Linked DNA regions of Nothobranchius furzeri. The protein of the gene in region 3 purifies or fractionates together with the protein of the main gene of each other region. This does not show direct contact. Links are inferred from orthologs where the notes say so. Each region holds a gene or a part of one and is shown on either strand. Other genes may lie near its edges.

Region 1 (5,103 bases), on a different chromosome or scaffold from region 3:
TTCTTCCCATCTCAGCTTCAATTTGGTCTCCTCCCCCGAAGCGGGTCTGGTTTTGGTTCTCAAATCTGGATATTCTGTGAATTTTCTGACAAATTATTTCTGAAATGACTTCTACTGAGACACCGCCAATAAACCATACATCCCATCTCCAAAGACACACTAAATAGCATAATAAAATGTAACGCCACCTAGTGTTTATCAGATATGGTGGTGTAGTGGTGATGGTGTCAGGTTGACATGCAGTTTTGCGCGGGTTCGCCTCCCAGCAGTGGAAATATCCTATAATCTCTTTTCCTCATTTCTAGCTACACTTGCCAGTACTATGTTTACAACAATTTATTGGTATGCCGTTTAACATATAATGACTAATGTGTTTTTTTTATTTATTCATTCGTTTATTTAGCCAGTGTGAGTCCATCTGTGAGCAGAGTTTCAACTAAAATGCTGTTTAGGAACGACCAAATTCAAAGAACTTGTAGAGACATAAATATTTTGCTGAAAATGAACATTACAACTAAAATATGAACAAATTCAATGTTTCAGCTGGCTAAATAGATTGTTGCCGACCCCACCGAGAATCGAACCAGCATCAGCTGAGGGGAAAGCAAAACTTAACTCAAACGATCTTGCCACTGGACTAACAGAACCCACATGGTGATGGTACATGCTGTTGTACAGGAGTTTTATTAGAGCGGCTGTGGGCAGATATTCGCTAAGAGAAACTTTTTTATTTCGGGATATATTCAGACTTTGTCATGTAGCAAGTTATATTTATCTTGTTTAATTGGAGCATAGAACATAGCATTAACGACTGTAAACTAGTAACAGCCGTAATTCATGTGGGTCAGGTCAGTTTGCGATAAAGTTGAAAACAAAAACGGAAGTCAGTGGGCTAGGCTGAGTTTGCGTGAATGGGCGGGGCTGACTCTGGTGCAGCTCCACCTTATGGTGCAGCTCCGCCTTTGTAGTTCTGCAGCGAGCACCCTCTCGAACTGCTTCACCTCTGTTACAGCTCAAGACGAAGAACACTCTTTTGATAAACACATAATCAACAACTTTGTTAATTACCAATAATAATGTGAGCCCAATGTTCAATCAATCTGTGAAATGACAATGTTATTACTTGATATTATAATCCTGTGATCAGTAGTATTTTACAAGTAATAATAATCCTGGACATTTGCACTAGACACTAAGGACACATAATGCTAAAGTCACACGACACATTTCCTTTTGTCTGATCCAATCAGAACCTTTGTTTCTGGCATGAGGTGTGGTTTTCTGTGGTGTTTGTATAAACCCTCTTTTTGCATGTCAAATTCTGATTCGCCAGTAAACCAAAATATGACAATTATAAAGACTATTCAACGCCGCCTTTTCTTTAGTTCAAAGTGTTCTAGAGGAGTCTCGGACAGGCCATGCGGACTTCCTCTTCAGCCATAAAGAACCTCAGACAAGCTTGATAAAATCTGTTGGAAGTTACACCTGACCGCAACGGTTCCTTCAGAATAAAAGCTGAACCTCACGACCCCTTCAGGGTCTCGGAGACGCCAGTGATAACCTGTCGTGACCTGGAAGCATTCCAAGACTGGTTTGGTCAGCACCGCTGCTTTTCTACTGGCTTCGGTACCAAAGAGGGTCCACAAGGACCTCGGCATTCTGGATCTGATCGGAGGCTTCCCCTGGGTATGTAGACCGACAGATGGCGTTTCATGTGTGTTATAAATCTCCTACTAAAGTTTAGAGCGAAACATTCACTCCTACTCAGAACTAACTGCTTCTCCGGATCCGCTGGTTCTGAATAACATTACACACACACACCATCATCATTCATCACGTCTCACCCCACCTTAGTCCATCAGTACACAGAGTGTTAAAGTTAGCCTTGATTAAATTGTGTAGAAATAAATTTCTTAACTATTTTAAACCTGACTCTCTCTCTTTCCTTGGAGTTAATACGAAGTGTCGTTTAATCCCTGCAATAAAAAGTTCTGATCTTTTGGTTAAAATATTCAAAGATCCATCAGATTGATATTTCATATTTCTATGGAATCTCACATTTTATGGTTCATAAGTAAGATGTAAACTACCCATCCTTTACATTATAGTGGATATGAATATTGTAGATGAAAATGGATAGTTTGCTTGTGAGCCCAGTGTTGATGCATTCCTTATGTTTATTTGATGATGATAATATGACCCCAGGAAGAATAGCAACTGTTTTAACAGTGGCTAATGGGGATCTTAATAAGAACAAACAAACAAACCTGAAGGGAGGCTCTTCTTCAGCACAAAGAAACATTTTGATGCTTGTTTCTTCCATTTTTAAATCAATATCTTGTTTTCTTCTCAAATTTAGACATGAAAAAGCCTAAGAGTGTCATTGGAGCCACATGCCTCTGCTTTTGACTTTCGCTAAAGTTTAAGCCACTTCCCAGTTCAAAACGTTTTCAACAAGTCAATGAAGTTACTGCAAAATATTAACTCAATAATACAACATCAGTTTTAAATGCCCGTGTGTACAGCTTCTTGACGTTTAAAGCTAAACCTGACTCAAGCTAACAGCCCCCCAATGTGGTTTCTGCACATTTCTGAAAATCAAGGTAGAAAAATTTACTTTTTCTACACATTTTTGGCAAAGAAGCAACTTAAATCTTTATTGACAAAAATAACGAGCAGCAAATCTCTGGATACTGGAGAAAAAAAGTTTTTTTTTTTTTTAAGAAATCTGTTTGCCCTAAAATTTCTGCATTAAAGGTGCATTGTGTCGAAATGAAGTAAAAATTACGTCCTGTGGTAAAATTTAGTAACTGCCACCAATTTAAACAACTCTGGAGCTGTTTGCCGGCCATTGTCAAATTACAATTGTCAGCGCTGCAGCATTAGCTTGCAGGGGACACGGCAACCCCACACTCACTGATGGTAAACAATAGTTACGTCCAGGGTTTCCCCCAGAAAATTAGTTAACCCTGGCGGATTCGGCCGTCGGGGAAGGGGGGGATCGCGCGCTCCATCTCGCAGCGCTCCTCTGTGACAGCGGGGGTGATTGCACACGTTCTGCTGCTGTTTCTCAACAGTATCAGGTGATGGGGGGGCTCTAGTTTCGTTGCGCCGTTCGTGTCAGCGGACACGGTAGGGTCGGGGAGGGGGGCGGGGCATGACTCTTAGCCTAGCGGGTGGCCAAGCAAAGCCTGGCGGCGCTGGGGGAAACCCTGACGTCCCTCCTTCCTTTGTTTGGAAAGGAGGAAAAACTGACAATCCCCGCAGCCAACTGGATATGAAACATGCTTCATGACTGAAACATTTGACTGTTTTGAGCTGTTTTTACAGGACCATAGCATTTTCAATACAGGATTTGCCGCGGCTCTCTAGGGAGGATAAAGGCTGTTTATAAGATCAGACCATGGCGGTAATGTGGCGCAATCGTGGCAATTTTATAAAAGATTAGGTGATGGCGGCATAAAGGGGGTATGGGGCTGGGCTCTGCGCTGCCGCAGGCTTCCGTTTATCTTGGACATAACTTGCTTTTTATTGCGATTGAAGCCGTGATCGTTACCTTTATTTAACAAGCAGCTCCTAAAGGTGTCTGTCCCCATCAGTCCCTGTGCAGTCTCTGGTGATCTGAGCTTCAGCTCTAACAAAAAGGCTCATGGAGCGCTGCGGCGCTCCAGTTTGCCATCTCAGCTGATTTTGCACAAAAAGCAAACCTTATTGCCTGTGTTTACTTTCATTTTCAATAGATTTGCCAGCCGGAGCTCAGCAATAACTCCCCACGTCATCATGACATCTGCCTCTGTTGCGCCGGGGCGCATACGACAGACCATTACCGCAATATTACTACCAAGCGAGGCGGAACGAATGCCGCAAAATTCACGCAGCCACGCAGACATACCATTGCGGTAATATTACGCCCATTTACCGGCATGGTGTGTCTTATAAAAGCACCTTTGGGATTTTCTTGCTGTAAAATTCTCACAATATTTTTACATACTGCACCTTTAAAGCGAAAACAGCTCATATTCAGTTGTACATCAACTTTATAAAGAGAGTAAAAATAATGCTTTGTTTTTCTTGCATGCACAGCCAGTCTTGGCTAGAACAGCTGTTAACTTGATGAACATTAGAGACAATGAATACTAGCTCTCCTCCAGCAAGTGAAGCTACAGAGATTAGCTCTCACTGAAATCCAATAATCCACCAGCAGAACGGCAGAAGAAAAGGTCATCAGGGTGACTTTTTACTGGATCTTCTTAAATGCTGCCTTTTTTTGTTTAAAATTCACAAGTTTTTCTAAATCCGGGGGCAAATTTCAGCAGCTTAGGCACCTTATCATCCAGGTCGTCATCACTCTCGTCCATCTCCTCCAGGCGGAGGCTCCACTCATACTCCACATGGATGTGAGGGTTGAACTTCCCCTCTGCAGCCTGGACAAGCTGAAAGAGACAACAAAACTATCTATAAGCTGCTCTTGTTATGGGAAACTACAACAAGATGGCAAAAGCAAACTATGATAGGATTTCAAAGCTCAATCCCTCTAAACTAGATTTATTTTTGTCCCCGTTGGTTCTGCTTGTTCAGATCTGCGTTAATAACAAACACACATGAACAATTCCTTCCACTTGGCTGCTCCTGTCCCTTCTGGATGGAGACAGCAGCTCCGCTGCCATCTAGTGTTCAGACTCATCCACACTCGTCCCATCAAACAGCTGCAGCTTCAAAAGCGTTTGAAGCCTCCACTTTCTGTAATTTAGTCCGTGTTTTTAAATCAGGAGGGCTCATTCTGGTCAGATCCGGCCACTCGGCCTCCTGTAACTTACTGCCTCCTCACACTGACTGTTCCTCAGTCGCCTGGCAACATCCAGAGCCGTCTCTCCATTCTGATTGGCTGAAATGAAAAAAGGGAGAAAAAAAAATATATGTAGAAAATAAAACACCGTGATTTGTGCTTATGGGTGGCTGAACCCTGACTCACTGATGTCTGTGGCCGGTTTGCCCCTCAGTAGCAACTTGAGGCACTCGGGCTTCTCGTACATGCAGCAGTAATGCAGGGCGGTGTTCCCCCACTCCGTCTGCTTATCCAGGTTACCACTGCAGAGGAAAAAA
Region 2 (5,103 bases), on a different chromosome or scaffold from region 3:
TGGTGCCTTCAAAACAAGACTGAGGGACCTTTTAAAGGCCTTTGCAGGTGTTTTGAGTAAATCAGCTGATTAGAGTGGCAGCAGGTGTCTTCTATATTCAGCCTTTTCAGAATATTCTAATTTTTTGAGATACCAAATTTGGAGTTTTCATTAGTTGTCACTTATGAATATCAAATTTAAATGTAATGAACATTGGAAATACATTGGTCTGTGTGCATTGCATGAATATAATGTACAAGTTTCACGTTTTGAATGGAATTACTGAAATATTTTCAACCTTTTGATGATATTCTAATTTACTGGCCAGCACCTGTATAAAGCAGCCGCAGCGCCGCTACCTGCATATAAACCGTGTCACGGGCACCCCCATACTGAAATGACGCTATGCATTACGGGGCTCCCAGGGGCAGATAAGAGTTGGTCTCTCTCCGAGAATAATTATGTATTTAACAACGATTACTGCCTGATGACATTTTCCCACATCTGCAAAGCTCACTGGAAGGACACAAACCAAGGACGATATTTTCCTGATATAGGGTTTATTACTCAAGTAAGGGTAAAAAAGTATCTGATTAGAAGGCTACTGGAGTACTGAGTATCATCTGGTCTAATATTTTTAAAATGATGACATCAAACGGACAAAAAATAAGAAGTTATGGGCAATTCTTGGTATTTTAAAGACTAAAGGGAAAAATGTAAACAAATAAACAACATAATTACAAAATAACACATTTTAGGCTAAATTTAGACACAAACTGAGGACAATATTTTCCTGACATACAGGGTTTATTTAATTTTGTGAAAATGTAGCACGTTTAAAAAATAAATACCGCGATAATACCGAAAACCGTGGTAATTTTGGTCACAATAACCGTGAGGTAAAATTTTCACACCGTGTCGACCATATTTGTTTTACAGATATGTTGTAGCTGAAAGTCAAATCGTCTGGGAATTTATGTCGGTTGTTTTTCTCAACATAAAATGATCTTTTGTCCTGCGTTTTCTGAAAACTAACGGAAACCTACTTAACAAGTGTCTGAAATTCCCAAACTTTGCCCGTTGTTTAGTTGCGGACCCAGACTCGGAACGACTCCACCCGGAGCTACGAGTCCCAATCCAGCAGCACCATCAGCAGCAGCGACGCCGCTATGGGAAGCCGGCCGCTCCCCCCGCCCGTAGCTCAGAAACCCGCCATCGGCCGACTGAACCAGTCATCGGAGGAGCAGAGTACTGGGAAGGACGAAACGGAGGAAGATCCCGCCAACAAGTCCTTCCTCGGAAAGGTCAGCAGTAAAGCATACATCTGCTGCAGATGTTCCCCTCCTGCTTTTTCTGCCTTTCTTAACTGACTTTTATTTTCCTTCTTTTCTTCCTCCTTTGCTTTCTCTGTGAAATATGAAATAGCGAATGGGTCACCAGGTAACTACTAATGTCCGCACCCACTGTTTGTTTCAGGTCACAGGTAACGGGGTAATAAGGGGATCAGGCTAAATATAGAAACAAGAAGCATGAAAATATAATTATATTCACTCAAACTTAAACAGTCAATCGTACGAAAAAATATAAAAAAGTTTGAGGGTTCAAATCTCACTTTTGTGATTTTTAGTTGACCTCAGAGAAAATCTCAGTGTCTCCTTTAAATTTAGGTACTTTTGCCTTTAAAATAGTCTAATAATGAACATTTCAGTTAACATGTTATTTCTCTGGTCCATAAAGATGCCTTTGAATCCTAAAAATTCAGATTAACTCGTTCACTGCCATTGACGACTAGTCGTCATTTGCGTGTTTTTACTGTGTGGGCGTCGGACGAGCCCCCGCCTCTGTGAGAACAAACATCCCAGCTCTAAAGCCGATCTTCATCCGCGTACGTCACACGTCATGTGATCAGGAAGCAGAACATCCATGTGTTAGGAGATCGTTCTGGGCTGCTGCTGTAAAAAAAAAGTGAGGAGCGAACCGGAAAAGCGTCTGCCGATCACAATTCAACAACGGATTATGAAAGAACGGATAACGCTCGAAACGCGCAGATTCTTCCTGATGTAAGAGGTGAGTCTCCTCTTTGTTTTGGTTGTTTTGGCGTCGACATCATCCTAGCGCGCAACGTTCTGTCATCTTAAAACAACAGTCAAAATGGTGAGAAACGCTGGCAGCGTATGAGTTAAACATATTTAATATCATTAATTTTTTTTATTTTACAATTTTCTTTCAGAATAATTTGACATTCTCAACATACACCCATTTAATTTTCTGGCTCATAAACTGCTGTTGTGCGTTTTAAAACTTTAGGAAGATAATAAATGAAATGACTTTCCTAATGAATACAGACGAACGTTATTAAAGGTGTGGAGCACCGAAAACAATTTTTATTGAATATTTCTAATTAGAACGGTTCACTGTGAGTTTAACATGCAGGCTGAACATGAAATAGTTTCCTACACCTACCTCCTGGATTAGCTTCTGATAGAAAATAGGAGTAGAAAATCTTGACAGATCAATTCACCCTGTCACTAACATTCATGGACTCACCTATCTGCACTCACGGCGGGGAAGACTGTTGGTGGTTTAGCGTCCAGGAAACAGCAGAGAACGTCTCAGCTAGTAGAAGCTAACTGTTAGCATTAGCAACTCCACCACACAGCAGAACTCCTCCAGGCTTGTTTGTGGAGATAAAACATCAACGTTGCAGAGCGAACTTAGTCAGCGGTAGTTGTGTTGCGGTTAGCCAATCAGATGAGAGATGTGTAAATATCAGGAAATAAGACACTTAATCCTGTCGCCTGAAGCTCAACTCTGATCTGGATCGCTTCTAGTTTATAAAAACGATGATTTGTTTGTACTTTATACATTTTATGAATATTTTGTAGGAGAATTTAGTTTTATTTTGAATGTCGTTAAAGCCGTACCCGTTTGCTCCCTCAGCAAACCGAGCTGTGACCACGGACCGTACCATACTGGGATTTTAGGCATGCTGGTTCACCCCGATGCTTCCTAAAATAAGTGAGAAGTTAACGAACACAAATAACAGCTTAAAATGTACAACAAAGGACTTCGAGGTAAAATCAGCCGAGAGATTATTTCTGTACACCTAAAAGCCGTAGGAAGCCACCAGCCTAACCCCGTTCTGGCGTCTTCCTCAAGGTTCAAGGTCACTTTATTAATACCCACAGGTAAATTTGATTAGCCATGTGACACGAGAATTAGTGCCCAGGTTACACACAGCCACACACACAGACACACACAGATACACACAGACACACACAGACACACACAGACACACACAGACACACACAGCCGCACACAGATGCACACAGCCACACACAGATACACACAGATGCACACAGCCACACACAGATACACATAGACACACACAGATACACACAGACACACACAGACACACACAGATGCACACAGATGCACACAGCCACACACAGATACACACAGCCGCACACAGCCACACACAGATACACATAGACACACACAGATACACACAGATACACACAGATGCACACAGCCACACACAGATACACACAGACACACACAGATACACACAGCCACACACAGATACACACAGCCACACACAGATACACATACAGGTGCTGGCCAGTAAATTAGAATATCATCAAAAGGTTGAAAATATTTCAGTAATTCCATTCAAAACGTGAAACTTGTACATTATATTCATGCAATGCACACAGACCAATGTATTTCCAATGTTCATTACATTTAAATTTGATATTCATAAGTGACAACTAATGAAAACTCCAAATTTGGTATCTCAAAAAATTAGAATATTCTGAAAAGGCTGAATATAGAAGACACCTGCTGCCACTCTAATCAGCTGATTTACTCAAAACACCTGCAAAGGCCTTTAAAAGGTCCCTCAGTCTTGTTTTGAAGGCACCACAATCATGGGGAAGACTTCTGACTTAACAGCTGTCCAAAAGACAATCATTGACACCTTGCACAAGGAGGGCAAGACACAAAAGGTGATTGCTAAAGAAGCTGGCTGTTCGCAGAGCTCTGTGTCCAAGCACATTAACAGACAGGCGAAGGGACGGAAAAAATGTGGTAGAAAAAAGTGTACAAGCTCTAGGGATAACCGCACCCTGCAGAGAATTGTGACGACAAACCCATTCAAAAATGTGGGAGAGATCCACAAAGAGTGGACTGCAGCTGGAGTCAGCGCTTCAAGAACCACCATGAGGAGACTCATGAAAGACATGGGATTCAGGTGTCGCATTCCGTGTGTCAAGCCACTCTTGAACATGAAACAGCGCAAGAAGCGTCTCGCCTGGGCCAAGGACAAAAAGGACTGGACTGATGCTGAGTGGTCCAAAGTTATGTTTTCTGATGAAAGCAAGTTCTGCATTTCCTTTGGAAATCAAGGACCCAGAGTCTGGAGGAAGAGCGGAGAAGCACAGAATCCACGTTGCATGAGGTCCAGTGTAAAGTTTCCACCGTCAGTGATGGTGTGGGGTGCCATGTCATCTGCCGGTGTTGGCCCACTCTGTTTCCTGAGGTCCAGGGTCAATGCAGCCGTCTACCAGGAAGTTTTAGAGCACTTCATGCTTCCTGCTGCTGACCAACTTTATGGGGATGCAGACTTCACCTTTCAACAGGACTTGGCACCTGCACACAGTGCCAAAACCACCAGCACCTGGTTCAAGGACCATGGTATCCCTGTCCTTGATTGGCCAGCAAACTCGCCTGACCTTAACCCCATAGAAAATCTATGGGGTATTGTGAAGCGGAGGAAGCAATACGCTAGACCCAACAATGCAGAGGAGCTGAAGACGACTATCAGAGCAACCTGGGCTCTCATAACACCTGAGCAGTGCCACAGACTGATCGAGTCCATGCCACGCCGCATTACTGCAGTTATTGAGGCAAAAGGAGCCCCGACTAAGTATTGAGTGCTATACATGCACATTCTTTTCATGTTCATTCTTTTCAGTTGGCCAACATTAGAGAAACAAACATTTTTTCATTGGCCTTTAGAATATTCTAATTTTCTGAGATACCAGATTTGATGTTTTCATTGGTTGTCACCTATAAATATCAAAATTAAACGTAATAAACATCGGAAATACATTGGTCTGTGTG
Region 3 (5,103 bases):
AGTCACATTCAGAACGCCACACTTCTCAGACGGCTGCAGACAGAAACAAGCAGCAGATGATGGCATTAAAAACAAACCCGGGAACCCCACCAGTTCAGCAGAGCCACGCAAGTCACCAAAACTCCCACAACCAGAGCAACAACAGCTTTCAGAGGAGAGGAAATGAAACCACTTTAACCACTGTTCCCACTCAGGACAGCAGAGATTATTCACATAGATTAGATCAAACAACTCTTCAGTGATTCAAAGACACACGCTCACACCAAGCAGCAAAGATCACATCCGTCTGAACTGTTCCAACACAGAAAGGATTCCATCAGTTTGGTTTGGGTTTCTCCAGTTTTGTTATAAAATATTTAATCTAATCGTTTGCGGGATTTCCAGTCCTGTGCAGGAACTCTGCAATATGCTGCAACCTGATTCGGTGCCTTACAACCCCAGAGGAGGATAAACCCTGCAGTGTGTGACGTTAGTGGTGAGTACTAACAGAGGCGGGGGGCTTTGGAGACGAACAGCACGAGTCAGAGGCAGGAGAAGGGGGCTTTGGGGACAGAGGAGCATCCTAATGAAGAGACAGAACAACAACATCGTCACAGACACGTAGAAGAGAAGATGATGTAAGGCTCAAGCAGCAGCTGTTCAGTACCTGTGGGTTTTAGTAGAAACACAAACATTCATCAACAAAAGATTCAGAAAAGTGTTTTCAGGTTAATTTGTTGTGTTGCTTAAAACCTGTTAAGGTCATTAATGATTAAAGGACCAATCAACTCAACCAGCAAACTGTGGAGAAAAATGTAATTATCACTGTGTGATTCTCCTCATGCACGGCGACTGGGTTTGTTCTGTTCAGATTACTGACTTTGGGTTTGTACGGGTGTGGCCGGGTGGAGCCTGAGCGAAAACGCCTGGTTTTTATCAGCCGCTGCAAAAGGAATGAGTCTAAATCTGACACTCAACAAACTCAGCCAGCGACACTGTCCTTGGTCTGCACACCGGCAGGACACCAACGGTCAGGAATAAGAGGAAACAACGGGTTTCTTAGCGAGTGCTTTGATGATGTCAAACCTTTTCGCTTGGCTCCTGGATGTAGGCGCTGTGTCTCCACTTTGTTAAAACGATGGGCTCCGCGATCTTACGGTCCAGGCTTTGAGTCTTTGAGACGTTCCCAGATAGCTGAGGTGGGGAGTGTTTATACTGCAGGACAGAGATGGACAACAAATAACCACTCAAATATGAGTCAGTCTGTGACAAAACCTTCCATGCAACTTTTATGATGTAGAAGGGCGTCGTTATTAATGAACTTGTTTTTAATCTGAATGTTTCTTACAGATTGTGTTTGCACATCATTTGTTCATCTTACATTAATCTGCTGTGGTCTCTAGTATGAATGAATGCTTTGTGAGCTGTTTTATGTGGAACAAAAGCTCTGGCGCTCCTGTTTCAGGGGGAAGATGATACTTTGTTCCATAAAAATGATGACTGGACCAACTCTTCTGTATTAGAAGATCAAGCCAGAGAGCCGCCCACTTTTATCCTGGTTCTGCTCGAGGTTTCTGCATGTTTCTCGTCCGGTGCTATCTGGTATCTACTGAATGTGATTCAGAGACTGCTGGACTGAACTGATTGTAAACATTTGTCTTTAAACCCAAACGTCTCCTGGTATGAACCAGGCTTCCTGCTAAAGCCCTGCTTTGGGACTGGTGTCCCACCAAACAGAGCAGGTGGGTGTAGACTGCTGCTGGCTGGAGCAGCACGTTAAAGACAGGCAGTGAGTCCCAATGCTGTTGGTAGAATGGAGAGTAAACATTAAGGTGGTAATAAAGTATGACGGAAGAGAAGAAAGCTAAAGGGAAGGACGTAAATCCTGAGATATGGAAAGCTGTGCATAATTTTTAAATACTACAGGAGCAGGCGGGGGTGCGTCAGACATAATCAGCAGGAGCAGGATTTTTAACTCATTCACTGCCATTGACGACTAAAGTCGTCATTTTAAATTCAACCGTTCACTGCCAATGACGACTTAAGTCGTCAATTGCAGTTTTTTACTGTGTAGACATCGGAACGAGCCCCCCACACAGTGTGAACAAACATCTCAGCTCTAAAGCCGATCTTCATCTGCATATGTCACATGATCAGGAAGCAGAAAACCCATGTGTTAGGAGATCGTTTTAGGCCGCTGCTGTAAAAAACGTGAGGCGCGAACCGAAAAAGATTCTGCCGATCACAATTCAACAACATATTATGAAAGAATGGATAACGCTCAAAACACGCGGATTCTTCCTGATGTAAGAGGTGAGTCTCTGCTTTGTTTTGGTTGTTTTGGCGTCGACATCATCCTAGCGTGCAACGTTCTGTGACTCTTAACAAAACATTAAAAACGGTGAGAAAAGCTGGCAGCGAAGTGCTTTACCAATCAGGAAACAGCTGGCAGCGAAAGAGTTAAAGAGTCCCATGCAGAGCTCTACTTCCTAATTTTGGTTGACACAAATAGCACAAATAAAACTATTTTTAATGAATTTATTAAATTTTTAAATTATTTGTAGCCTAGAATCTAGACCGTCATTTGCCGAAGCTAAAATATTTTTTCTTTGCACGTCGGTCTAGGCACGTTCCATTGAAACCTCCGCAAGCCCGGCCAGAATTGTAGCTGACCAATCACAGCTCGCTTATTTAGAAAAATTATGCATTGTTTCAGGTTTTATGTAGTTCCTCCACTATGTAATGGCGGACGTCCCACTGACTAACATCAGTGGGGGTCCAATCACAGTGCTCTAATGGGTTGGTGAGCCAATCACAGCACTCTGTAGGCTGGATGTTACTGAAAAAACAAAGATGGCCACAGCTTATTTAAAATGCCTTTAGCAACTACTTTGGACTATTCAGTCAAGAGCAGACAGATGTACTTAACTACTTAAAAAGGACGTATTTGCATCTCCTTTGACAACGTATGGCGGACTGCCTCGTTGACCGACATTTGTAGCTAGGGATGGGTACCGAATTCGGTACTTTTTAAGGTACCGACCGAATTCCATAGTACCGACTGAGCACCGATTCACGTCATTTGAAACGGTGCCTCGTTTCGGTACCCGTCCTTCATAACGAGAATTTGCCAAGACAGCTGCACATGTGCAAGAATGTTATGTCGTCGGTCGCTGCGAGCGAGTTGTAAACAGAGCAGCATGGTAGAAAGAACGCACGCCAATGGGCTCGACACACGGGAGGCGACATCGCCTCTCCTCCATTCATTTTCAATGAGACATGCGGGTCTCCCTCCTACCAAGCGAAATGCGAAAAACGTGCATGTGAAATTTTGCGCTCGTGCACGTGTCGTGCACAGGCGACCCAGCGACGCGATCCCAGAATGTCGAAACATTTTCAACTTTTCATCGCTGTTGCTCGGACGAGGACCAATCAAAGGAGGTTTCATTCACTGACCAATGAGCGAACAGGATGCTCCGTACACCTCCGAGCATACATGGAGGAGAAGTTGATTATTATTATGTCTTATATAGTAAAATCAGAAGTAAGATTTCACATAACTCTAACAGCACCTTGTGAAACATCATATCTACCAATTTTTTGACTCTGAATCGCTTAAATAACCTTAATTCTCTCCAACCTGATACAGCCAAGCAAAACAATGGAAGTTTCGATTTCGCCATGGAGCAGAACGCGTAGACGGCTTTGCCGCTGGCCGCTGCCGCAGATCGCCTCCCGTGTGTCAGGTAATAAAAGCGACAGCGACAAATTTCGCTGATCGCGGTCGTTTGTCACCTCCCGTGTGTCGAGCCCATAACTGGGTGATGATGAAACCAGCGACAACGATCTAAGTGAGACATCCTCATCTTAATCTGCTCTGGTAGGTAAATAAAATGTTTAAGATAATGTTAGCTTGATATGTTAGCTTCCGTTCTGCTAATGGTGCGTTCGCTTTCTCCTCGGAACTCCGAATTTCCGACTAGAAGAACATGAACGTGCACTAAAGTTTGGCTTCACTTTACTAAATGCGACAGGTGATTGGGTGAAGATGAAACCAGCGACAACGATCTAAGTGTGAGGCATCATCGTTTTAATCTGCTTCAGCAACTAAATAAACTGTTTAAGATAACGTTAGCTTGATATGTTAGCTTCCATTGCCACCATTTTTATCAGCTAATAGTGCGTTCGCTTTCTCCTCGGAAATTCTAACTTCCCAGTAGGAAAAATTAAATGAAAAAGGATGGCAAAAGGAATGAAGATATACAGTAAATTTAGTTCACAGTAAAGATGTTTGCTTCAGTTTTATTATCAACTTATAAAACTACAAGGACTATGTTAAAATACAAACAGTTGTATGTTATTTATCGTGAAATTGATCAAATATGGTTACAAATTGAGAAAAATTTGTATTTAATTAAGTGAATTAAAATATTAAACACTCAAAAGTATCGAAAATTGGTACCGTTAAGTACCGGTATCGATTCGTAGGTACCGGGAATTAGTACCGGATCGATTCAAATGTCAAAGGTACCCATCCCTATTTGTAGCAGTGAGAGAGAGAGCCACATCGTTTTATATCCAATAGCATGTGGGAACAGTTTGAAAGACAAGCGTAGACCCTGCCCCATGACTGAGAGCCGTTAACTCGTTCACTGCCAATGACAACTAAAGTCGTCATTTGCATGTTTTTACTGTGTGGGCATCGGAACGAGCCCCCGCACCGTGCGAACAAACATCCCAGCTCTAAAGCCGATCTTCATCCGCACACGTCACGTGATCAGGAAGCAGAAAATCCACGTGTTAGGAGATTGTGTTGGGCCGCTGATGTAAAAAAAAGTGAGGCGCGAACCGGAAAAGCTTCTGCCGATCACAATTCAACAACGCATTATGAAAGAACGAATAACACTCGAAACGCGCAGATTCTTCCTGATGTAAGAGGTGAGTCTACTCTTTGTTTTGGTAGTTTTGGTGTCGACATCATCCTAGCACGTAACGTTCTGTGACTTTAAAAAAAACTGTAAAAATGCTGAAAAACGCTGGCAGCGAAGGGCTTTACCGATCAGGAAACGGCTGGCAGTGAATGAGTTAATGGGCCGTGGCCAGACTACATATAGGATTATGTTT

What was found. Proteins that work in one complex are often made in the same cells at the same time.
Region 1: the proteins of arhgap12b (region 3) and asap1b purify together in Homo sapiens (co-immunoprecipitation; 3 studies listed by BioGRID and IntAct, with this or other methods). This does not show direct contact. The link is inferred for Nothobranchius furzeri from reciprocal best matches to the Homo sapiens genes ARHGAP12 and ASAP1.
Region 2: the proteins of arhgap12b (region 3) and tjp2a purify together in Homo sapiens (co-immunoprecipitation; 3 studies listed by BioGRID and IntAct, with this or other methods). This does not show direct contact. The link is inferred for Nothobranchius furzeri from reciprocal best matches to the Homo sapiens genes ARHGAP12 and TJP2.

The regions. Positions count from the first base shown.
Region 1 is NC_091747.1:45,634,897-45,639,999, reverse strand, and holds part of asap1b (arf-GAP with SH3 domain, ANK repeat and PH domain-containing protein 1), read right to left. Parts: intron 5,089-5,103; coding exon 4,973-5,088; intron 4,886-4,972; coding exon 4,818-4,885; intron 4,434-4,817; coding exon 4,326-4,433; intron 1-4,325. UniProt on the Homo sapiens protein: Possesses phosphatidylinositol 4,5-bisphosphate-dependent GTPase-activating protein activity for ARF1 (ADP ribosylation factor 1) and ARF5 and a lesser activity towards ARF6.
Region 2 is NC_091746.1:73,890,148-73,895,250, reverse strand, and holds part of tjp2a (tight junction protein ZO-2a), read left to right. Parts: intron 1-1,067; coding exon 1,068-1,283; intron 1,284-1,404; coding exon 1,405-1,419; intron 1,420-5,103. UniProt on the Homo sapiens protein: Plays a role in tight junctions and adherens junctions. Acts as a positive regulator of RANKL-induced osteoclast differentiation, potentially via mediating downstream transcriptional activity.
Region 3 is NC_091751.1:39,417,173-39,422,275, forward strand, and holds part of arhgap12b (rho GTPase-activating protein 12b), read right to left. Parts: intron 1,195-5,103; coding exon 1,066-1,194; intron 563-1,065; coding exon 488-562; intron 34-487; coding exon 1-33. UniProt on the Homo sapiens protein: GTPase activator for the Rho-type GTPases by converting them to an inactive GDP-bound state.